Rattus norvegicus: one gene and its partners. The protein of the gene in region 1 purifies or fractionates together with the protein of each later gene. This does not show direct contact. Links are inferred from orthologs where the notes say so. Each region holds a gene or a part of one and is shown in the gene's direction. Other genes may lie near its edges.

Evidence for each region.
Region 2: the proteins of H2ax (region 1) and Hnrnpr purify together in Homo sapiens (affinity purification with mass spectrometry; 3 studies listed by BioGRID and IntAct, with this or other methods). This does not show direct contact. The link is inferred for Rattus norvegicus from reciprocal best matches to the Homo sapiens genes H2AX and HNRNPR.
Region 3: the proteins of H2ax (region 1) and Usp48 purify together in Homo sapiens (affinity purification with mass spectrometry; 3 studies listed by BioGRID). This does not show direct contact. The link is inferred for Rattus norvegicus from reciprocal best matches to the Homo sapiens genes H2AX and USP48.
Region 4: the proteins of H2ax (region 1) and Lmna purify together in Homo sapiens (affinity purification with mass spectrometry; 3 studies listed by BioGRID and IntAct, with this or other methods). This does not show direct contact. The link is inferred for Rattus norvegicus from reciprocal best matches to the Homo sapiens genes H2AX and LMNA.
Region 5: the proteins of H2ax (region 1) and Atm purify together in Homo sapiens (affinity purification with western blotting; 11 studies listed by BioGRID and IntAct, with this or other methods). This does not show direct contact. The link is inferred for Rattus norvegicus from reciprocal best matches to the Homo sapiens genes H2AX and ATM.
Region 6: the proteins of H2ax (region 1) and Kat5 purify together in Homo sapiens (affinity purification with western blotting; 3 studies listed by BioGRID and IntAct, with this or other methods). This does not show direct contact. The link is inferred for Rattus norvegicus from reciprocal best matches to the Homo sapiens genes H2AX and KAT5.
Region 7: the proteins of H2ax (region 1) and Xpc purify together in Homo sapiens (affinity purification with mass spectrometry; 3 studies listed by BioGRID and IntAct, counting the BioPlex papers as one, with this or other methods). This does not show direct contact. The link is inferred for Rattus norvegicus from reciprocal best matches to the Homo sapiens genes H2AX and XPC.

The regions. Positions count from the first base shown.
Region 1 is NC_086026.1:53,567,479-53,570,572, forward strand, and holds H2ax (H2A.X variant histone), read left to right. Parts: upstream 1-1,239; 5' UTR 1,240-1,307; coding exon 1,308-1,739; 3' UTR 1,740-2,594; downstream 2,595-3,094. UniProt on the Homo sapiens protein: Variant histone H2A which replaces conventional H2A in a subset of nucleosomes. Nucleosomes wrap and compact DNA into chromatin, limiting DNA accessibility to the cellular machineries which require DNA as a template.
Region 2 is NC_086023.1:153,850,519-153,854,018, forward strand, and holds part of Hnrnpr (heterogeneous nuclear ribonucleoprotein R), read left to right. Parts: intron 1-3,167; coding exon 3,168-3,317; intron 3,318-3,500. UniProt on the Homo sapiens protein: Component of ribonucleosomes, which are complexes of at least 20 other different heterogeneous nuclear ribonucleoproteins (hnRNP). hnRNP play an important role in processing of precursor mRNA in the nucleus.
Region 3 is NC_086023.1:155,090,538-155,094,037, forward strand, and holds part of Usp48 (ubiquitin carboxyl-terminal hydrolase 48), read left to right. Parts: intron 1-3,147; coding exon 3,148-3,268; intron 3,269-3,500.
Region 4 is NC_086020.1:176,255,436-176,259,646, reverse strand, and holds the start of Lmna (prelamin-A/C), read left to right. Parts: upstream 1-1,411; 5' UTR 1,412-1,614; coding exon 1,615-1,970; intron 1,971-4,211.
Region 5 is NC_086026.1:62,752,130-62,755,629, reverse strand, and holds part of Atm (serine-protein kinase ATM), read left to right. Parts: intron 1-22; coding exon 23-111; intron 112-202; coding exon 203-305; intron 306-976; coding exon 977-1,125; intron 1,126-2,593; coding exon 2,594-2,698; intron 2,699-3,500.
Region 6 is NC_086019.1:212,326,992-212,329,393, reverse strand, and holds part of Kat5 (histone acetyltransferase KAT5), read left to right. Parts: intron 1-476; coding exon of another isoform or gene 477-593; exon of another isoform or gene 594-1,355; intron 1,356-1,361; coding exon 1,362-1,502; intron 1,503-1,575; coding exon 1,576-1,669; intron 1,670-2,402. UniProt on the Homo sapiens protein: Catalytic subunit of the NuA4 histone acetyltransferase complex, a multiprotein complex involved in transcriptional activation of select genes principally by acetylation of nucleosomal histones H2A and H4.
Region 7 is NC_086022.1:125,568,085-125,571,584, reverse strand, and holds part of Xpc (DNA repair protein complementing XP-C cells), read left to right. Parts: intron 1-806; coding exon 807-913; intron 914-2,505; coding exon 2,506-2,626; intron 2,627-3,500. UniProt on the Homo sapiens protein: Involved in global genome nucleotide excision repair (GG-NER) by acting as damage sensing and DNA-binding factor component of the XPC complex. Has only a low DNA repair activity by itself which is stimulated by RAD23B and RAD23A.

The DNA.
Region 1 (3,094 bases):
CTGGGCTAGGGCTAGAGTTAGGGCAACATACTCCAAGGTAACCTCACATCTGACTATCAAATTAAGTGTTCTGATTAGGAAGAGCAGAGGCAGGGCCATGTGCTCAGAATGGTGACAATAAAGGATTGCCTTTTACTTGTTCCTCTAGGTGTAGCCACTCCTTCCTCCTTTCTTTTTAACCTTTGAGGTTCTTATTGAACCCTAGGGCATCCTTATACTTAAATGCTCTACCACTGAACTATATCCCAAGCTCGACATATTTATTTTTTTATATAGGCATTTTAGAATAGATTGAAAGGATTAGAGTGGGTACCTTTTCCAATAGGATCCCTACCCCTGCTCCCCTCAGACCCTTTCTTGTAAGAGAGGTCTGTCACATACTGAGACCAGACAGAACATATCAAATAAATATTACAGCACAAACTTGTGATAGCATAATGGATAACGGTGCTCCGTTTTCTGGCACAGGATTAAACTCTCAGAAGGTTTCATTTCTTTCATTTTAAACCCTCCCTTTTCAGCCAAGCCTTTAATCCCAGCACAAGGGAGGCAGAGGCAGGCGGATCTCTGAGTTCCGGGGCACCAAGGGCTAATCAGAGAAACCCTGTCTCATTAAAATAAAAGCCAGATGGTGGTGGTGCACGCCTTTAATCCCAGCGCTTGGGAAGCTGAGGCAGGCAGATCTCAGAATTCGCAGCCAGCCTGGTCTACAGAGAGATCCAGGACATCCAGAGTTACACAGAAAAACCCTGTCTCGAAAACCCAAAAATAATAATAAAGAACAAGCAAATAAATAAACCCTTCCCTTTGCCAGATTAGAGGAGGGAGTAGGAAGTGCCCTAACCTGGAAGGAGAAAGGTGCTTACAGTGAAGACCCTTTTCCTTTAAAACCACAGGCCGGCTCAGATTTCCCAGAAACCATAGAGGTAGCTCCAAGCTCCACCCTTCTAGTCTTCGGGTTTGTGGGCGCGCCGTAGCGTTTAAATTTCGCGCGCTCTATACTGATTGGCCATTTCCAAGGGTGATTCGCCTCTGGCTTGCAGCCACTCCGCCTTGTCTTCTTCCCCGGGTAAAAGGTTTTCAAATTGGACCAATCGCTGAGCGCGTTCTCTCGGCTATGGCGCGTCACCGAAGGGTTAATTGCAACCAACCAGAGGTGGGTATTAAAAAAAGAACCAATTAGGCGGAAGCGGGGGCGTGTCCAGAGAGTTTATAAGGGCGAGCTTGCCCGCGCGAGGCGACAGTTGACTGCGGCGGTTGGCGGTTTGTCTCCTGGCGTTTTTCTCAGCCCTTCTACCTCGCACACGATGTCGGGTCGCGGCAAGACCGGCGGCAAGGCCCGCGCCAAAGCCAAGTCGCGCTCTTCGCGCGCCGGCCTTCAGTTCCCGGTAGGCCGCGTGCACCGACTGCTGCGGAAAGGCCATTACGCCGAGCGCGTGGGCGCAGGCGCGCCCGTGTACCTGGCGGCGGTGCTCGAGTACCTCACTGCCGAGATCCTGGAGCTGGCGGGCAACGCGGCTCGGGACAACAAGAAGACGCGCATTATCCCGCGCCACCTGCAGCTGGCTATCCGCAACGACGAGGAGCTCAACAAGCTGCTGGGCGGCGTGACTATCGCGCAGGGCGGCGTCCTGCCCAACATCCAGGCCGTGCTGCTGCCCAAGAAGACCAGCGCCACCGTGGGGCCCAAGGCGCCGGCGGGCGGCAAGAAGGCCTCCCAGGCCTCTCAGGAGTACTGAGGGAGCCCGCGCCGCGGCTGCCCAGCCCTCCCCCACCTCCACAAAGGCCCTTTTAAGGGCCACCACCTCCCTCACAGAAAGAGCTGAGCCACTTCGGGCTCCGGCCCGCCGCGTCCCCATCCCATTCTCTCCTCTCAGTCCTCGCGTCTTTACCCTTCCCTGTGCGGCCTCCGGGTCTGCCACAGGACGCGGGCGCCGGGGCACCTACCCATCCCGGAGCTCGTGACATCGCTTCGCCGTTCTCAGTCGTCGACGGGCTGTGCGGAGAGGTTGCGGCACCTTCCACCTTCCAGAAATCTCGGCCCTTTGCTATGACGTACGGCCGAGGTGGGCTTGAAGGTTAGTTAACCACCACCACCACCCCCCCCCCCCGCAGCTACAACCCCAGCGTTTTCAGCTTGGTGCTTAGCCCTCTCCTGGACCTTTCAGAAGTGAGTTGATTGCCGGACTTTGGTGAGAAGCGGATCATACTGTTTCACTCTGTGTCCCCCTTACTGGCCTCTCAAACCAGTTGACCCTGTCGTCATTTGTAGGCCGGCATGTTATAACGTGAAGCCAATTTTTCCAAGATAAACTGGAAAGGGTCAGGGAACGCCTATTGGCCTGTGGACAGAAGAATTGTATACCTGCCGCAGAAGACTAGAGGAGCCGGGCCTAGCTATCCCTCTCCCTTAACTCAAACTACAACCCAAACACCCAGATACCAGCACAAGTCGGTGAATCCCTGTCTGGACTGAGCCTCTGGCTTCTGAACTGGAACTTTTGCAGCTATTACAAGTTTAGAACCTTAAGAAGTGGGGAGATTCAATGGGCTAATTTTATTAAAGGATCGTTTTTGGTTTGTTTTTTTTTTTTAAACGGAGTGTCTGATTTAATTTTGAATGCCTAACTTAACTTTGAATGCTGTAGTCCCAGGGCTGGACATTTACAGCTCCATAGTCGAGGAGCCATGTGCCCAGAACATCTCGTGGGAGGGAGTGGGACTAGAGGATAAACTTACCTTCCTTTCTGCAGGCACTGGGAATGAAAGGCTATGTGAAGATCCTGTTAACTAAAGACAGGCAGGCTGTAGGGATGAAGGCTAGTTTCTTTGCTTGGTTGAGAATGATCAGGATGTTTTACAACAGAAAGGTCCCAGACTCAGAATTCAGGTTTAAAAGGGCTTTGGGTTTATTCATATCTTCCCCCAACTCCAGGAGAACCACATTCTGAACTGATTAGTGGCATTGGTTACATTAAAAGATTGGCATGGACTTTCTCTAAAGAGATGAAGCCCACAAACTACTGAGGGAAAGGCAGTCATGGAGGCCCCAAGTTGAGGCATATCTTCCAAGGCCGAAGTCTCAACAACTCTG
Region 2 (3,500 bases), on another chromosome or scaffold:
TACACCTGACAGAAATTGGGAAGATTTTAATCTTGTGACTGTTGTTTTCTGGCTAAAAATGTTTAAATTGATAGAACTCTTGCTCACCATACAAGAAGCCCTGGGCCTCACATTGAGGACCAAATAAAACTTGGCATGGTGATATAGTACTTGGGAGGTAAGGACGGTCAGATTAGAAGTTTAAGGCTGTTGTTAGCTACATAGCTGGTTTTCAGATATTGTCTTTTTTTTTTTTAAATGTATTTATTTTATGTATGAGGACACTGTCACGGTCTTCAGACACACCAGAAGAGGGCATCGGATCTCATTACAGATGGTTGTGAGCCACCATGTGGTTGCTGGGAATTGAACTCAGGACCTCTGGAAGAGCAGTCAGTGCTCTTAACCTCTGAACCATCTCTCCAGCCCCCCTCAGATATTGTCTTAAACAAAGGAAACCCTCCCAAAAATCCATGAAACCAAGATTTTAGAGTGGCAAGGAGGCCTCTGTAAACTTGGGAATTGAATAAAGTTGATACATTAATTGTTCTCTTATAAAAGCATGTCTGTTAGAAAGGTTCTTCTTGGTACTCAGCGTTACACCTTAGATCAGTTTTACAGTCAACGGGAACCTGAAACCTATGTAATTCTTTTTTCTTTAAGATTTATTTATTTATGGGGGTTGGGGATTTAGCTCAGTGGTAGAGCGCTTGCCTAGCAAATGCAAGGCCCTGGGTTCGGTCCCCAGCTCTGAAAAAAAGAAAAAAAAAAAGATTTATTTATTTATTGTATATGAGTACACTGTAGCTGTCTTCAGACACACCAGAAGAGGGCATCTGATCTCATTACAGGTGGTTGTGAGCCACCATGTGGTTGCTGGGAATTGAACTCAGGACCTCTGGAAGAGCAGTCGGTGCTCTTAACCGCTGAGCCATTCTCCAGCCCCTAAATGCTCTTTTTGTGAATATTTAAATTATATTTTGCAGTCCTGGAGTTCAAACACAAGACATAGCAGTGCTTAGGCTGTGCTCTACAAATGAGACATAACGCTAGAACGCTGTTGAACATTAGTTCCAAGCTTGTTTGTATCTTGTTTTGGTGCTGTGGATCACACTGCCAGCCTCATTCACGTGACCTCATATATGTGAGGAAACATTCAACACTGAGGTAGTTACACTTCAGTCCAGGAAGTTCCTTTTCTGTTCAAAGGTGAACAAACTAGTAGAAGCCTGTCAAGAGGCTAGGGCTCATCTGATAGCCTGTTCTTCCTCTTCCTTCTCCTCCTCTTCTTCCTCCTCATTTTTGTGTTGTTTTGTTTTTGAGACACGGTTTCTCTGTGTGGCCCTAGTTCTATAGGAACTCATTATGTAGATCACGCTAGCCTCAAACTCACAAATTCACCTACCTTTCTCAGCATCATGCTCCCCCACTTTCCCCAAAAGAAGTGCTAGGACTAAGGTGTATGCTACTGTGCTTGGGCTCAAATCTTTCTGAATCTTAAGCTTTTTATCTGAGACAATAGTTTAATGTTTAGTGGGTATGCTGATTTTTCCTTGAATAGTTTCTTAATTCAAGGATTTAAAAATTACACAGAAACGTATACACAATTCCACTGTCTACCCCTGCCATCATGTCTGCCACGACTCCTGTAAGGTACCCAGTTTTAGTGTTGTCTTAGACAAGTACAGGCAAATAAAAGTAATTCTTTGATTCTGAGTGACTATAGGTAGCCTTTTGTGTTTATTTATCTGTGTTTCCTTTATTCACCATTCTGTTTGGTCAGCTCTCGGAAGATAATTTAGTATTGTTTATAACACTGAAAAGTCACACAATGCTGCCAGTTAAATTGGCATGCTGGTAACTTACCTGTTGACTGTATTGTATCTCTTCTTCAGAGATGTAGAGCATTGGAAAGAGTGTTCTCTTAGCACCCATTGATCCTGGCTCTCTATCAACTCAGCTCCTCTTAGTTTTTGACCTCCACAGTAACCTCAGCTCTATATATGTATTGAGTTATTTCTGATCTTCTGTTCTAAGTATAGTAAGTAAGTGTGTACCATGTGTGCTGATACAGGGCAATTATGTTGTAGACAGACACTTAGGAGAGACTTGTAGTCAAAGGGTAAATGCAGTTATTAAGATAGTCCCGTGCTTTTTATATATGGTGTGCCTTATACTTGACGAGATAGTATATGTATTTTGCTCACTGCTGTTAATAGTTTGTTTCTATTACTAAGTTTATGGTTGAGTGTTTAATTATAGGGCTTTACATGTATTTATTTATGAATCATGTAGTCATGAGTTTTGCCTATTTTTTCTTATTTTTCTGATGCTTCTCTGGTGTAAGTTGCTATTTTTTTTTTCTCCATATTTGTCACTTGCCTTCTGACTTTGTTTATGCTAGTTTTGCCGTACGCCACCGCTCTCGTTAGGTAGTGCCATTCCTTCATTCGCACTCTGGGTTTTAAGTTATGAGCTGTTTCACATCTATGCTTTATTTGTATTTACGAATTTTAAAATTTTAATTTTTTTTAAGATTATAACTGTTATCATTTCTCCTTCTCTCATACCAACCAACCCTTTATAAACAAATCACCCTTGTTTTTCCTGTAACATACAGCCCCACATTACTTTTTTACGCTTTTGATCTGTTTGTACTTTATCTTGGTGTATAGTGTAGAAAATGGGCCAACTTCTTTCTTCATTGATGTCACTCTGACTAAATGATTTAAGCATTGTAGTTTGTTTCTGTCATTTTTTTCTTTCTGCCCTTCTTCCCAGCCCAAGTAAATCTTTTCTTGTATAGTTTTTACATAACTATCCACAGTTTTAGGGGTAAAAACAGATAAACTCGTTTTGGGGGGGGGGTCCTTTGGAGCCATGATAAATTTGTGAATTAATGATACTTTTATGTTGGTGCCTGTCTGATAGGTTCTGTTCAGTGGTAGCTGTTCTGTTGGGACAGACAGAGGCAAGAGCCAATAGTTTATATAACTTGGTTATTTTTTTTAAAAGCTATAGAAAAGTGGTGACTGATGTGAGAATCTTTTCATCATTGCATGTTTCTCAGACTACATTTTTAGACTTGCTGCTTTAGAGAAGAAAAGCCAACTTTTTGAAGACAAGAAGTAGTATTTTAAGATTTGAGCTAAAACTTAAGAGTAGCAATTTTGTGTTTTTGCTATTAGGTAAAAGTTTTATTTGTGAGAAACCTGGCTACTACAGTGACAGAAGAAATACTAGAAAAGTCATTCTCTGAATTTGGAAAACTGGAGAGAGTGAAGAAGTTGAAAGATTATGCATTTGTTCATTTTGAAGACAGAGGAGCTGCTGTTAAGGTAGGAACTTTGTATTCTTTGCTGTTTGTTTCAAACTTGGTAGACACATAAAGTAACTATTTGAGATTGTAAAATTATGAATACATGTGTATATCTATGTGAGGGTCTGTTGTGCACACACTGAGCATGCAGGTGCCCAGTGATGTTCAGAAGAGGGCACTGGATTCCCTAGAGCTGCAGGTA
Region 3 (3,500 bases), on another chromosome or scaffold:
CAGGGCTGTACAATGAGACCCATGTCTCTGGGGGAAGGAGGACAAGGCCAGAATTACAAAGGCCAAACAGTGCAAATTACCCACACCTCTTAGTCAGCTGTGAACGTTTGTAGACCGCAGACTGTTTGCCTCCACTCTTTGAAGCTAGCTTTGGAGCCACTGAGTGAGCATGACTTCCTGTGTTGTGGAGGATGGAGAAAGATGGGGATGCCTACAAACAGCAGCAGGAGACAAGTGCTAAGCTGTCTACCAGAACTGCTTTCTGAAAGACCCCTGCGACTGTCTGCCCAGCCATATCACATGACATTCATTTGAGACAAGGTCTCACTGTGTCATCCTGGCTGGCCTAGGACTCAGAGATTGGCCTTCCTCTTTCTGAGTGCTGGATTAAAGGTGTGCACTGCCACCCCAGGCTTCATTCATTCATTTGAGAATTTCACACTCAAGTGCTGTTTATACAATTTTCATCCCAGGTTTTCCTCTCCAGCTCCTCCCATGTTCCTGCCACTCCCTCTCAACTTCTTGACTTCTTTTTTCTTTTTTTCTTTTTTTAAGACTTTATGAGTGCTCTATCTGCATGTACACCTGCACATCAGAAGAGGGCGTCAGAACTGGTTACAGATCATCAAAAGCGACCATGTAGTTGTTGGGTCAGGACCTAGGAGAGCAGCTAGTGTTAACTGTTGAGCCATCTCTCCAGCCCCGTCTTTTTATCAGTGTTTTACACGTGTACCCCTCCCCCCTCACTCACTTTCATTCTCGATCTCTCTCACCTCCACATGCATACACACACATAAATACAGCCCGTTGAGTCTACTTAATGTGGATATCTGTACATGTGTTAAAGGGGAGGGGGCTTGTCCCTGGAAGACAGCGCGCATTTATAGGACCTGGAAAGTTACTTGTTTCATAAAGATGAAATGTTCACTGTAGAGAGAATAGAACTACCAGGGTGGTTTGGAAGGTAAAACCAGTTGCTTCCAAACCTGGTGACCAGTCCCAGTTCCATTTCTGGAATCCATGTGGTGGAAGGGATATTGTTTTCTTGACCTCCTCATGCATGTGTGACACATGCCCAGCCTCGTGGGTAGGTGGGTGAGGGGTATGTGTGTTCCTTCCCTCCAGAAAGAAAATAATTCCCAAAGCAGATGGGAATAGTGTGCACTGCACTCCCAGTGTTCAGGAAGTAGAGGCAGGTAGATCGCCACAAGTCCCAGGCCAGCTAGCCAGGGCTACAACAGCAAGTTCTCAGGCTTGGGAGCAAGTGCCCTAATCCTCTCTGAACCATCTCATCTCTGGCCCCATGTTCCAGCCTTCCACTGTCAGTACAGCCTCGGGTAACCTCAAATATGCACACACACCTTAATGTGTTTGAACAGGAAAGGAGAAGCCAAGGTTCTATTACCTTCATGGCTCTAGTCTCTTTTAATCTGGGCTTGTGTGCATGACATTGACTCTTTGTGGGATGTTTCTGAGTTTGGGGTTGCTGGGTGTTTGCTCATGGGCATAGGTTTCGTGCTTTTGGCCAGAACACTTTAGAAATGAAGCTGTAACCAAGGGCCCTCCCTGGTGAGCAATTAATTGGCTGTCAGGTAGATCTGTTGTTTTCTGTGATACAACTTGATTGTTTCATTAGAGTTTGGTTTGGGTTCCTCCTCTCCATAGCTGGTTTTCCCCCCCTATTAAGAAGTGACTTTCCTCCATCTGTCCCTTTGTCTCACTATAAAATCAGTGGACTCTTTAGAGATAGGATTTCAGTGTTTAGCCCTGGAAGCTTAGTGTGTAGCCCAAGCTGGCCTTCAACTTCCTCTTACCTCTGGCTTCTGAATGCTAGAATTACACTTGTGAGCTTCTGTGGCTTCCTCTTTGTTTTTGAGATGGTGTCTTCCTTGTAGCCCCGGCTGACCAGGTCATTGCCATCCTCTGGTCTCAGCCTTCCAGGTGCTGATTATGATTGAGCGCCACCACACCCCTGTTTGGGCGTTGTACCCTTTTGTTGCTAGACTTGGTCAGTAGGTGCTATGCCCGTCCCCTTGTGGGATCCCTGTCTCCTGTTAATTGTCTTCACTGTAGGTTCATCTTACCAATTTCCCTCAGAAGCCTGAGACTTGAGTGGAGAATATTTAGAAATCAGGATTTGTTAATGAGCTTGGTTCTTGTTCCTTTGGCTTTATTTTGGGGGTACTACTAAATGAGTGCTCTGATTAATGATGGTGTTCAAGTGGCTTGGCCTTACCCCATCCCCCAACTATGAGTGTTTTATTCAGCTGAAATATGTTCTGCTTCTGTTGGTTGCTGGGTTCCTGTTTGTGTGGTGAGAAGCTGGTAACACCAAACCCACCTCAATAACCCAGGGACTCAGTACTCAGAGAGCAGCTTCACACACACCCATTAACCCACAGTCTTCTGATTCACAGTGTGCAGGTCAGTAGTGCCTTTAGACTCTGGGTTTTCTGTTTTCTCTTTCTTTTAACACAGATGAGCGACTTTATTTTCTGACTTCATCTGAACATATAGTAATCCTTTTTAAGACTCAACTATTAGGGGCTGGAGAGATGGCTCAGTGGTTAAGAGCACTGACTGCTCTTCCAAAGTCTTCAGTCTGAGTTCAATTCCCAGCAACCACATGGTGGCTCACAACCATCTGTAATGAGATCTGATGCCCTCTTCTGGTGTGTCTGAAGACAGCTACAGTGTACTCAAATCATTTTTTTTAAATTTACAGTAGTGTAGCACTGTAACACCACCAACTCCTCCATGGCTCTCCATTTCTCACACCATGTTTATCATATTTAAAAAGCTAATCTTAGGGGTTGGGGATTTAGCTCAGTGGTAGAGCGCAAGGCCCTGGGTTCGGTCCCCAGCTCCAAGGGAAAAAGAAAAAGAAAAAAAAAAAAAGCTAATCTTAGGCAGGCATTGGTGGTGCACACCTTTAATCCCAGCATTCCAGAGGCAGAGGCAGGCAGGATCTCCAGTTCAAGGCCAGCCTGGTCTACAGAGTGAGTTCCAGGACAGCCAGAGCTACACAGAGACCCTGTCCTAAGGGGTGGGGGTTGGGAGTGTAAACAAACTTAACAGCTCAGTCCCCTTCCTCTTCATTCCTGGAAGTATTTTTAACTGTGATTCTTCCTTTTTTTCTCTTTGTAGAAGAAACTGCAGAGGAAATCCGAATTGCTTAGTTGGGATTGGCGAGCACATTTGGTTAGGAGAAATAGATGAGAATAGTTTTCATAACATTGATGACCCCAACTGTGAGAGGAGGAAAAAGGTGAGTGACTGCAGTTGGCAGGACTTGGTTACTCTGGTTGTTGTTCAGTACCTTTGATCAGAAACCTGTTCACTGCACATGCACCGCAGTGGGGTGGGGCTGCATGCCATCCCTACAACTCCCTCCCCTTTTAAAAAAAGAAGAGTGAATCACCACAGCTGTCAGTGATCTCGGTGACCTGTGTAGGTGTCAGGACAGGAGACACGTGGCCACATGCATTTGAATTTCTGCT
Region 4 (4,211 bases), on another chromosome or scaffold:
GGCAGATCTCTGAGTTCAAGGCTGGCCTGGTCTACAAAAGGCGTTCCAGGGGTACGTAGAGAAACTCCGTCTTGAAAAAGCAAAATGGCAACAACAAAATCTCCTAGAGTCCCAACTCAAGCCCACGACCTAGAACCTGTCCAGTTCTGGAACTGGCAGGTTAATCGGTGCCCTGAGTGCTCCATGGAATGAGCAGGGAAGGCTCCATTGCAGGAGGGGATGATGGGGCCAGTGCAGCTTAGGCTAGGGTTACAGGAGAGGACTAGACAGCTGACCAAGAGTCTTTGATGGAGGCTGAAGAACCTGGGACCAGGGTTACTGTATTGGGAGATAGTCTAGTCAGGGCCCACTCATAACTGGCTAGAAAGGCATGCAGTGGCTGAGGAGGGGTGGCTTTGCTCTTCGTGCTCCCACTGTTAGGAATGGAACCCAGATGGAGACCCTGCATTAATAACCCTCCGACCCCATTCCTCTTTTCAGGCCCTTCTTGCAGTCACAAAAATCTGGAACCTGGTGTCCTAGCCATGTGTTGAATGCACGCACAGCTCTGGTATCTGTTTTAAATTATCCATTAAAATAAGTACAGTCCTGGAAAAAAATAAGTACAGTCTTGGACTTGGCTGGGTGGAGTAAACTGAAGAAAGGGGCTGAAAGGGAGGGATTATAACAGCCATTTCCAACTGTCTGGGTCCAAATGAAAGGGGAGGGGGGATTGGGAGGGGCCAGCTTCTGGCTTCTATTCTTGGCTTTCTCTTGGGGACTGAGGCTTATTCCTTAGATCTAAAACCCAATGTTTGGTTTTAAAGCCAGAAATATAAGGGAAGTGCATAGGTTTAAAAAAAAAAAAAAAAAGGCCCTTGATCTTTGCCCCAAACTTGAGGGCATAAAGTAATATGTTAGTTACCTAAAAACCCAGACGTTCCTTTGCCATCCCACTCCTGGCATACTGAAATGCAGCCCTGGATAGGCCGCTCCTGTGCGTGGGGGAGAGGTGACTCACTGTTACTACTGAGGAAAGGGGAGCCAGTGGTGGAAGTGGGTGAGTCACTGATGGGCAGCAGCCTCAGCCCTCCCCCAGCTTCCTTGGCTCCCTGGGGATGCCTAGCTCTCTCCCTCACTTTGCACCTACTTCCCCTGGTCCCTCGCCACTACCCTTCGCCCACCCACTCTCATTCCTTTACTCTGCCCTTTACCCCAGAAGGCCAAAGCTTGGAGTTGAGTAGGCAGGAACCAACATTGTGAAGCCCCAGGCCAGAAAGGGGTGTTCTGCAGACTGAGGGTTAGCATGCTGGCTCCTCCTCACCATACCTGCCTCCGCCCCTTTGGGTCTAGGATGGCTCCTTTAAGAGCAGTGGATCCACCCCCTGTGGAGGAGGGCCTATTAGAGTCTCTGCCCGGCTGTCAGTGACTCAGTGTTCGCGGGAACGCTGCCTCAGCCTCAACACCAGCCAACCCAGATCCCGAGGTGCGCCAGCGCCCAGCCCAGATCTCCACGCCTGCCAGGAGCGAGCTTCGCCGGCTCGCTGTCCCCCGAGCAGCCTCTGTCCTTCTGTCCGAGTCCCGCGCCCTTCTCGGGACCCCTGCCCAGCGGGCAGCACTGCCACCCTGCCGGCCATGGAGACCCCGTCTCAGCGGCGCGCCACCCGCAGTGGGGCGCAGGCCAGCTCTACCCCGCTGTCGCCCACTCGGATCACACGGCTGCAGGAGAAGGAGGACCTGCAGGAGCTCAATGACCGTCTGGCCGTGTACATCGATCGCGTGCGCTCCCTGGAGACGGAGAACGCGGGGCTGCGCCTTCGCATCACTGAGTCTGAAGAGGTGGTCAGCCGAGAGGTGTCCGGCATCAAGGCGGCCTACGAGGCCGAGCTGGGGGATGCCCGCAAGACCCTCGACTCTGTGGCCAAGGAGCGCGCCCGCCTCCAGTTGGAGCTGAGCAAAGTGCGTGAGGAGTTCAAGGAGCTGAAGGCGCGGTGAGTGAGGCCTGGCCGGCCAGCACCAGGGAAGCAGCAGTCTTCCATAACTGGCCATCTAGTCCCCTCCCTCCCCGGAACTGCCTCCCGCGGGTGACTGGCAGTGCCAAGGGTAATAGTCATGACAGGACACAGCAGGGAGAGGGTCTCTGTGAGAGGGTGGGGGGATATAAAGAATGGTGGGGCATGGAGACCAAGTAGCCTTGGTTACAGGGCCTCACTCTGTCAAGGTGGGATCTTATAGCCATTTGGAGCCTGGGGGATGGGCTGGAGGAAGGCAGAACAGGCTTTACCAGGTCTTGGAACTCCCGAATGAGGCCCGGAACACAGCAGAATGGGTGAAAGGGTTTTATTAGAACTTTCTTGGTGGATTTGGCACTCTGCCAATTTTGCCCAACGTGACTCTGAACACATGATGTCCACTAAAACATATCTCTCACACAGACATTTGTCCGGTGGTATTGTAGAGGGGTCACCAAGGCTGCGTAGCCCCTTTCTCCCATGGCTGTGTACGCAAGGCCTTCTCCTGGTTCTAGGAGCTGGGAATGTCTGGGACCTTTCCTAGACTCTGCCCTCCAGAAGCACAGGAGGAAGCTCCCCCGCAGATCCCACAGCCCTTGGCCTGCCTCGACTAGGAATGCAAGAGAGTGTGGGGAGGGAAACTGGGCACAGAAGCTAATGGCCCTGGAAAATCTGTTATGCCTGGGTCTGGGGCTCCCCAACCCTGGCCCTCTCTGTTTGGTGACTTAAAGGTTTGGAAGCTCTGTCCTTTCCTCCCTCAGCCAATAAGCCACTTCCGGTTTCCTAGCCAAGCCAGACTTTACTCTGGCCCATCCTCCAAGCTGTTGATGTCTTGATCTTATTAAACTGCTGGAATACAATGACATTTTTGAAATCCAGCCGTTAGAGAGCTTCAGGCCACTCCCACCTCACCCATCCCTGCCCCACCCTGCCCCACCCTACTCGACTCCACCTTCTTTCTAAAAGGACTTTCCAAAGCCTGGGAGTGTGGGCCCTGGCTCCCGGGACTCCCACAGGCTCTGTGTCTGGGATCTTTTCTTCTATGCTGTAGACCAAGCCAAAGAGCGTTGGCCATGCGTGCAGATACCTAAGGCTCTGGTAGCTTAGACTTCTCTTCCTCTTTTTCCTTTTGCATTATCTTCTGACAGAGCCCACTGACTATCAGTGGTTGGTCATTCTGTTCCTTACCAGATCCCAGCCATAGGTGGTGGCAAGCTCATTTTCTCAAGTATGAGCGGAGGTCATGTGCACAGATGGGTCCAGCCTTTCTCTCAGCTAATAGGAATTACCTGTCTTTTCTCTATTAGGGATATGAATACCTTATCAAGAAATACATGAGGCAAGTTAGAGGAGTCCCAGTGAGTTAACTAGTTAGTTAAGCTATAGTTAAACTAGTTTAAGTCAACCACCAAAGCTCTTGCAGATCCTGGTGCAGAACTTGTCTAGTAGATCTGGGGACAGGGGGAGTGGAAGATAGAGCTTTTGTTCATCTAGCTGAGCCACTCTGTGTCTTCTGCCCCCAGTGCAGCTGTCCAGGCCTGGGACACCAGGTGGTGTGTACACACATGGGGTAGGGGCCGGGCGATGTGTGGACTTTTTATATTTAGCCACCTGCCTCTATTCTCAACTGAGCCTACCCGAGGAGGCTGGGCTTCCAGGAAGGGGGTTGGGGTGAGTATACACACCTAGGTCCTTGCTGGTGGGGTGAAGTGGAGGCGAAGTGAGCTTAGATGGATGTCTGTCCTTCTATGTCCATTGCAGAAGACTCATGGCTCTGCCCTTTGTATGGCTGGTGAGCTCAGACTGAGGTGGAGAAATGGCCTGAGTGAAGTTTGGGGAGGATGAAAGGCATTGTCCGGGCCCTCCCACCAGGGCTGGGGGTGGGGAAAAGTGACCAATTTAATGTTTAATTCCAGCTCAGAGTTCAGGGTCAGGCTTGGAGTTAGGCATAACTATGAGACCGGTGACAATCTTTAGCACAGTTCAACTTGGATCTCTCAACTGCACCCACAAGGCTCTTCAAACTGGGTTGTAAGTTCCAAGGAGGAGGCAGGGGAGAGGGGGAACAAAACAACTCTCTCCTTCCCTCTTCCTCCCTCTCCTCCAGAGGTTTAGATATCTAAGCTGGGAGAAGGGGACAGTTGGAAGTGAGGGAAGGCTCACCCCAGGCTTATGGGTAAGCTCAAGTCCAAGCTAGACAGCTGCATGGATGACTCAGAC
Region 5 (3,500 bases), about 9.2 Mb from region 1:
CCTTTGGTATTTTTCTTTTCAGGATCTTCTCTTGGAGATCTACAGAAGTATAGGAGAGCCAGACAGCCTGTATGGCTGCGGGGGAGGGAAAGTGTTACAACCCCTTACCCGGTAAGTTGCACCTTTCAGATAGTGATTCTGCCTTTCGAAGGAGCTCCATGCGCACAGAAACAAAAGATGTTTTCACCGTCATCTCTTACAGAATAAGGACGTACGAGCATGAAGCAACGTGGGAGAAAGCCTTAGTGACATACGACCTTGAGACCACCATCTCCTCCTCCACCCGCCAGTCGGGAATCATCCAGGTACACTGCCATCCGTGCCTGCTTCCGTAAAGCTGTCGTCAGTGGAGTTAGGCTGTCAGACATTAGGCCAGCACCTCAGTACACATTGGAAAGCTGCACAGGTCACTGTAGTTTGTTGATAATACTTTTATTACCCAACAGCAGAAGACACTTCTGGAGTGTGTACAGTATGCCTGCCAGGAGACACTCGTAGTGCTTCACATGGCACTAGTTTGCTTTAGAGTTGGTCCAGGAAACTGTCCTATCTTTTACTATAATAGGCTTAGGTATCTTTCCACCAAACATTAACATTCTCTGAGGAGAAATATACACGCTAAGCAATATTTTAGAGTTTTAAGTGATACTGTTAATTAAAATTTTTGAAATTAAAATTTGGGGGTGGGGGCTGGGTTTCTCGCTAGTTCAATGGTTCTCAACCTGTGGTCGCGACCCCCTTTGTGGGCTGGCTGACCTTTTCACAGAAGTCACATGCAAGATATTTAAATTACGATTCATAACAGCAGCAAAATTGCAGTTATGAAGTAGCAGTGAAAATGACTTTATGGTTCGGGGTCACCATAGCATTAAGAATTGTACTAAAGGGTCTCAGGATTAGGAAAGGCTGAGACCACTGGTCTACTCTATCCTGACGTATTTGATCATGTATTCATTTTGTGATAACTTCCTTTCAGGCCTTGCAGAACTTGGGGCTCTCCCATATTCTTTCTATCTACTTGAAAGGATTGGACCATGAAAGGAGAGAGTGGTGTGGGGAACTGCAGGAGCTTCATTACCAGGCGGCGTGGAGGAACATGCAGTGGGACCTCTGCACTTCTGCCAAGTGAGAGCAAACCAGCCTCTCCCCACTGCTTCTATCTGACCCTGAAACTGTGCATTTGGTTGTTTTCTCTATGAGTGCTGCTGGCTTTTGTTTTTTAATATATTGTACAGACACTATGGGCCGCACATATGACTAAATATTTAGTATACAATAGGCAGCTAGCACAATGAAGGTTGAATTTCATTCTTATTTTTTTCCACCAGAGAAATTCTATCCCCTGCTTCAAGTGTTTTGTAGATAGAAATTTTTAAAAATGCCTTTTCCTGTGAAAATATTGATTGTTGAATTGAGGAATCTAAAGACAAGTGTAGGCCTTCTCCCTACCACTTCTTGCTACATTGTAGTCAAAAGCATTTCTATTGGCTGGGTGATAAAATCAGTTACCTTTGTTAATGTTTTGTGGTGGTGGTTGTCGTTGCTGCTGTTAAAAAGTAGTGCTAGGCCAGGAGCAGTGGTGCACTGGGAGTCACAGGCAGGTGGATCTCTGGTTCGATGCCAGCCATGACTACATAGTGAGTACTAAGCCAGCCAGGGCTACCACAAACAGATAACCAGGCAGTTTATAAAGTACTGCCAAACCAAGTTACCCAAGAAGATAAAAGTTGTAGCCTGTATTTCAAATCATTGTATTTTTTAAATGAAAACCAAAACACCTAGACTACTAAAGGATTTAATAGTTACATAAAAAAGTCTGATAGAATGCTAAAAAATTAAGTCATTTTAATTACTTTAATGGAAAAATGTTTTCATAAATTGGAGTGTTTATCAAATTTCATGTTAGGAGTGGTATAAAAAGCGGATTTATTCATATGTAGGTGAATTTTCTGTGTTTGTTTTGAGACAGTTTCTCTGTGTAACCCTGGCTGTCCCGGAATTCGCTCTGTAGACCAGAAGATCCTACTTCTGCCTCCTGAGTGCTGGCACCAAAGGCTCGCGCCACCACCACTCAACTGCTCTCATTTTAAATATTTATTTTAAATGTAAAATTGAGAACCAACTAGAATTTCTAAGTTTTTGGTTTTTTTTTTAAAGAATTTAAATGACCTGTAAAATGCTTTCCTCTTCTCACTGCCTTTTACTGCTTTGGCTTGTTTGTTTTTTTTCTCTTTGTTTATATATATATTTTTTTTTTTTGGTTCTTTTTTGCGGAGCTGAGGACCGAACCCAGGGCCTTGCGCTTCCTAGGCAAGCGCTCTACCACTGAGCTAAATCCCCAACCCCCTTTGTTTATATTTTGAGTTAGGATTTTACCATGTGACTGTGGCTGGCCTTGAGCTCACTAAGATCCACCTCTCTCTGCCTACCAATTAAAGGCATATGCCGCTGCACCAGCTACATATTTTTCTTAATCTCTGCAAACTTTTATGAGAAATCTTAATTTTAGTTCTCAACATTGTTCTTTGAGTTAGTTATAGATGCATATCTCAGAGTTTTCCATTTTTAAATTTGTTTTTTAATCATCTCGCAGCCAAGAACTAGAAGGAACCAGTTACCACGAATCGTTGTATAATGCTCTGCAGTGCCTAAGAAACAGAGAATTCTCCACATTTTATGACAGTCTCCGACATGCCAGGTATTATAAAAAAGACAGATTGTTTTTATATTTGATGCTGTGGCTGCTATCCTCAAAATGTGAGTAGATTTAAATAAGAATTTGCGTCAGTGAAGGGATAAGACTTGGTGGCTGAGTTCAAGCGTTTCTTTGTCGTTCTTTGCTCTCAAGAAAGATTTTCTTGAGGACCTACGTCAGTTCTTCAGTCTGCGCCCTCTGGAAAAGCATGATAGTATTCTCTTTTGTACACGTGTCCTGGAAGAGTTAACCTTTGTCCTTTCTAGTTTCATGGCCTTCACTCTCTTACCATCATAGCTCTGCTTTGTAAGCTTGGTTTCTCTGAGGCATACATGGTGTAGCAATTAGCTGTAACAAGTTAAACAAACATGAATTTTTTTTAAGGTTTATTTATTTTTATATGCAGTGCTGTTTTTGCCTACGTATACGTCTGTGATCCCTTGGGACTGAAGTTACAGATAGTTGTGAGCTGCCATGTAGGTGCTAGGAATTGAACCCTGGTTAAGAGCAGCCAGTGCGCCTAACCACTGAGCCATCTCTCTACCCCCAAACATGAATATTTTAAACACTCGCCACTGACATCATAAATCCTATACATGTTGTTTGGTTATTGTTTGGTTTTAGACCCCAGAACAGGGGACTGAGGTGCATATTTTACACATCAAAGCAGACGTGGCCTCCTTGTTCTCCCAGCATCCCTCAGTCCCTGCCTGGTATACCTTGCCCCCAATCCTGAACTTTCCAGTCTAGGGGCTGGGCTGCCCTTCCCCAGAGGGTCTTCCCTATGTAATCCGGACATTTTGGT
Region 6 (2,402 bases), on another chromosome or scaffold:
AAGAACAGTGTGGCCCAGCATCCCGGAAGCTGATGCTAGGAGCTGACATTCAGAGCCAGTCTGAACTACACAGTAGGATCCTTTCTAAAGCTGAGTTAAAAAGGATCTTTGGTTGGGTGTGCTGGTACATCCTTTATTCCTAGCACTCCGGAAGCAGAGGCAGGCAGGTCTCTACTGGTCTATGGGGAGTTGTAGGCCAGCCAGGGCTAGAGTCAGATCTGTTTTGAAACAGTTTGCAGGTTAACCTGTGAGCCTGGACATAGCAAAGAGAACATATTTAAACAGTTGTAAGCAGTTGGGTTCAGAGATGCAGCCACCAATGTACCAGGACAGTGCATGCAAAAAGTAAAAAGAAAGGGAGAGGTGGTGAGGCAAGGTCAAAGGTCAGGTGTCAGGAACAAGATCAGTGGGGAGGAACAGGTTAGGGTTTCTTTAAGTGACAAGTATGGAGGTCCTTGAAATACACACTTTTTAAGGCCTCCAGGGTATGGATGGAGAGAGAGGCAGATTTCTGGATTGGTTTGGGAGCTCACCTTGAAGAGGAGCTACTTCTTCAAGAGGAAAGTACAAAGTTTCACATTGTTGTATATTAAGTGTGGTGTTCAAGTAGATGACCAGCAGTTGCAAAGCTGTCTGAAATTCTTCTAGAAGTCACATGTGATAAGACAACCAGTCCAGAGTTGTAGGGAAAAATCCCTAAGGCTGGCAGTTCCTTAAACCTCCACAGAATTGCAGACCAGTTCCCAGGAAGGGTCACCAGCTAGAGCGTTCAGGTTCTGACACCTACAGCCACATGGGTAGAATGTCTCTCCTGATGACTAGTCCATTTGGAAACTTAATAACTCACTATGTATCCCTAGCTGACTGACTTCAAACTTGTATTTCCCTCTGCCTCCTAAGAGTGGAGGTTACAGGCATTCCTGGCTTGGAAACTTTAAGTGGAAAAGAGGACAATGCAGGCCCAGGGCAGGCTTTGCTGGGGATGTGGAAGCTCTACAGCTCACCAGGGGCAGGGCAGGCAGTTGGACGTTAGTTTGTAGGCTCCTGGTCACTTAAGTAGTGCTTCTAAGCAGTGGTGCTAATCTGACTGGTGGGATGGGCCAGGGTCCTGGGCGGGAAGTTCAACCCTCTCAACTGGAACAGCAGGAAGAAGTGCTCCTCAGAGCCCTTGAGATGGCTCAGTGCATGGAAGGGCTTGTCACACAAGCCTGGCCACCCGAGTTTACTCTGTAGAACCTATGGTGGAAGGGGAATGGACTCCCATGCGTGTGCATGTTGTGTACAGGCACATGTGGCATAGTAAATTAACTGTTTAAAAACAGTATCCCAGAGTATTGACTGTGAGGTCTTTTCCTTTATAGAGTTACTCACAAAACCTGTGTCTTCTGGCCAAGTGTTTCCTCGACCACAAGACATTGTACTATGACACAGACCCCTTCCTTTTCTATGTAATGACGGAGTATGACTGCAAGGGCTTCCACATCGTGGGCTACTTCTCCAAGGTCAGCACTCACAAAGGCTGTCCCTCAGCCCTGCCCTGAGCCTGGCCTTCTTTAACCCACCTACTTTTTCCAGGAAAAGGAGTCCACAGAAGATTACAATGTGGCCTGCATCTTGACTCTGCCACCTTATCAGCGCCGGGGCTATGGAAAGCTGCTTATTGAGTTCAGTGAGTATGGCTGCCTGATCCGGTGTCTGGTAGGCTGGCAGGCCAGGCCTATGTGGGTGTTCCTTTGCACGCAGACAAACCAGTCACCAGGAGAGCTGCCAGAAATAAAGGGATACTCCACCAAGGCCTTTCCTCAGTTGACTGCCCTGTTTCCTGGAATAAGTTCCCAGCATCTACTTCTCTTTGGCTAAAGGCCTACAAGCCACCAAATTTTTCCCAAATTGGAATCGTGTGTTCTCATCTGGAGCTCTGAGCAACCTAAAAAGTCTGGTCAAGGACCAGTGGTTCTGTTACTAGGCATGCCCTAAGCGAGCCTTGCAGGCAGTAGGTTCAAAAAGGTATACGGCCACTAAAAGACAGACTCCTGTCCTGCTTCTTTGTAAGGCTAGTCTTTTAAAACCCAAGCGGGCTCTGGCCCCTTTTGAGGACACGGACTCTTTTTTTTTTTTTTTTCTTTTTTCTTTTTTTTTTCCAGAGCTGGGGACCGAACCCAGGGCCTTGCGCTCGCTAGGCAAGCGCTCTACCGCTGAGCTAAATCCCCAACCTTAAGGCTTTTTTTTTTTTTTTTCCTTTTTGAGGACACAGACTCTTAACTCTGCAGTCTCATCGTTTCCTGCTGTTAGTCCACCCAGTCCTGTTCTGTTCATTGAACTGTTCTCTGGCTCAGGAGTCAGGGAAGAAGCTTTCGCTTTTCTGCTGGTGAAAACACAGGTGTCTAACTTGTTCAGAGTCG
Region 7 (3,500 bases), on another chromosome or scaffold:
AAACATAAACAAAAACAGAGGGTTTTTGGAGCTTTATTAAAGCTCAAGACTTTGATGGTCCGAAATGTGTGCTAAAATCTTGGCTGTTTCCAAGTTATAATACCAAGTTATAATAATGTTTATTTACAAGGCCCAAAGTAACCCAGAGCTGTAGAGGGGTTTTGGGGTTTATATATGAGTCTACGGAACCGTATCAGCTCACTGGCAGCTGTTCACCTTGCATCTCACTGGGTACCCAGCTGTTTATCTGCTGGGGTTTCCTCTGTGAGCAGCCACCCAGCCTGGACCGGTTACAGGTTCTTGTGTGGTCACACCTTACTTGCCCCGTGTGAGGTGTGCCAACTTCAGTGTCCTTGGGCTACATTTTCTAACGGGAGAAAAGCACTCTGAGTTGATTCACAGCTCTCCTGGTGTGAGCCTTCTCCTTGGCCTCCAGCTACTTGCTAGTGTGCCCAGCTACCTCAGTTCTCCCGGACTCCTAGGACCACGTGGCTGTTTTAATTTTGCCTTCGTCTTTTCAAGGTACAGGAAGGTTTTTGTTTTGCTTCGTTTTTATTTTTTTTGTTTTTTTCTTTTTCTCAAGGATTGTGAGTTAATAGGTTCTGGGTTTGTCTTGCTTGGTAACCAGGGCAGCCTTACACTGGCGCTCTTCCTACCTCAATCTTGGGACTTGTGAGAGTCAGCTGTCCATCATTTCATGGATGTGATTGCAACAGTCAACAGAAGGACTCCTGTAGGTTCTGCCCAGCCTGAGTGTGACAGTAGGACATGTGAGTGAGCCTTCTGTGTCTTTGATCCCTATACAGGGACTCATTGAGTAACTGCAGAAAGGCAAAGAAACATCCCAAAAGAGAGGTGGTGGACCAAGGCACCGATGAAGATGACAGCGAGGATGACTGGGAGGAGGTGGAAGGTGAAGTGCCTGTCTCCTTTTCTGAACTTTGCTTCTCTGTTTGCTGTTCAGAGCCAAGTCACATGTTGCAATCTTGTTTTTCTTTGTAACAGACCATCTTGAGATACAGTTGTAGTAGGCACTTGACAGAAGCAGTTTGGAGGAAGAGTGCACCTAGAAAAGCCCTGTAGTCCTAACTCCAGCCCAGCACCACCTCACATAGCTGTAGAGCGAGTTCTTTGCTTGCCTGAGGCAGGTCTCTTCACTGGCAGCGTTATGCAAATTGCATATAACTGAGCTGTGCCTAGTCAGCCTGCAGAATTTGGGGAGGAAGTCTGCAAGTGCTGTATGCCTCAGGTCTACACCACGAGAAAGAGCCGTAGTTAATGCTAATCCATGGTTCCTTCTGTGGGCATGCTTCCTCAGCCTTTTATTTTGACAAGGTTCAAATTACCAAGAGAGAGAGTAGTCTGGACACCCAGTCCTTTATATTGAGTGTTTCTTTCTCTGTTTAGTCCTAAAGCTCGGCTTTTGAATACTTGAGCAAACCTTTACTAAGAAGGTAGTGACGTCTTATCTGGCAGAGCTGCCTCATCACACCCCAAACACGAAAACAACCCTCAGTTATTAAAAAAAAGTCTTTAGAGCTCTCTTGCTTTCTTTCTTTCTAATTCAGGTCCAGGGGTGGTTGAGTTTGTAAATGCCTTTTAATTTAACTCCCACCACGTGTATTACCTTTATTAATTACTTGTGGTACAGAGGATTATAGCTTTAGGGATGCTAGGAGGGTGCTCTGCCACAGAGCTACAACTCCTGTTTCTTGCTTTTTTTTTGGTTTTGTTTTTAAAGTGTGTGTGTGTCTATTGTATGGATGTATATGTGTGAATGTGTGTGTGTTTTATGTGTGTGTGTGTGTGTGTGTGTGTGTGTGTGTGTGTGTGCGCACGATGTGTGTTTGATCAGAGGACAACTCCCAAGAGTTCTTTTCTATCACCTTGTGGGATCCAGCCCCAAAGTCAGGTCTCCTCAGGTTGTGTACAGTCTTGCCAGCCTCCAGGCCTTGTTTTGTTTTGTTTTGTTTTTTAGGTGAGATCTCTTATTGACCTGGGACACAAGACCATAAGACCTCTGGTCTCATTGCTGAGTGCTGGGATTACAGATGGGTGCCACCATACTAGGCATTGTCTTTTCCTCTTTGGCTTTTTACAGCAATGCCTGCTTTGAAAAGTTCTGGCCTCTTGCATTTTAGAATATCTGGTTTTGTCAGATAAACAATCTGGAGTGTTTATCTATTCCTGATTTTGTCTGTCCAGCAGAACCCCGATTTTGTTCCATATATTGACTATCGTTATTGTTAACTTTAACTTGTGTGTATAAGTGTTTTACCTGCATATATGTCTGTACCGTGAGTATAGATACCCATGGTACCCATGATACCCATGGAGGCCAGAAGAGGGTGTTGAATCCTCTGGGTCTAGAGTTACAGATAGCTGTGATTCACCACGTGGATGCCTGGAATTGAACCCAGGTCCTCTATAGTCAGGGCTCTAAACCACTGAGCTATCTCTCCAGCCCCAATTAGTGTTATTAACCTTTAAATTTACTGTTGGTAGAACTTACTGAGCCTGTGCTGGACATGGGAGAAAATTCTGCTACCTCGCGGTCTGACCTGCCTGTGAAGGCAGTGGAGATAGAAATTGAAACACCAGAGCAGGCGAAGGCACGGGAAAGAAGGTAGGCTGGGCTCTGCGTCTGTGCTCCTGTCCTGAAAATAGGCAGCAGATACACCAAGAAAGCCTTCACATGTTAGAGTGGTCTGGAGCCACAGGGAGGACCTAGATTTGCAGTAGGACTGAAAGGAGACACCTGGCTGTTCTGGCTGGGTGGGAGATGGAGGTGCATGACAAGGACTGGGCACCTTGTTCATCTCTTACTACCTGACCCTTAGAGCAGGATTGGAAATGACAGGCTCAGAGAGCATCAGTGACAGTCCTGGAGCCACTTAGCCAGTGAGTGAAGGAGCTGAGACTTGACTCCCCATTGGCTGACGTGGCACTCACGCTTTCACTACCACATATCCCTACAGGACTTGAGATAGTACCCATTGTGGAAGGAGCACCCAACCTTCCCAGGGTGCCTGGTTCCACTGTAGCCTCCCGATGGCCTAGGAAAATGGAGCAAACAAGCTTACTAATGAGGTTCTCTTCAGTGGGCAGGGAGGAGGGAGACGTTCAGGAAGTCCAAGGTTTTCCTGAAGGTTGATGGGCCAAGGGTAAAAGATTTTGCAGAATTGTCATGTAAATGTATTTAATTTAGCATCAGTGTGGTTTGCGGAGGTAGTCTGTAGTTGAGATTCTGAAGGAAGGGAATTTAAGGCCTGGTGAGGCACAGCATTCTGGGAGGGGTTGGCAGATGTATCACCCGTGTCCAAGAGCAGATTTACAGATGGGAACTGTTGCATCCAGGGGCTGCACAGAGACCTGTGAACAGGTTTGCAGATGAGCAGTGCTGCATCCATCATGGCTTCAGGGATGGACCAGACTGGGTCAAAAGACAGCCGTGTGGACAGTGATCAGTTGATCAGTGACTGGTCAGTTGATCTTAGACA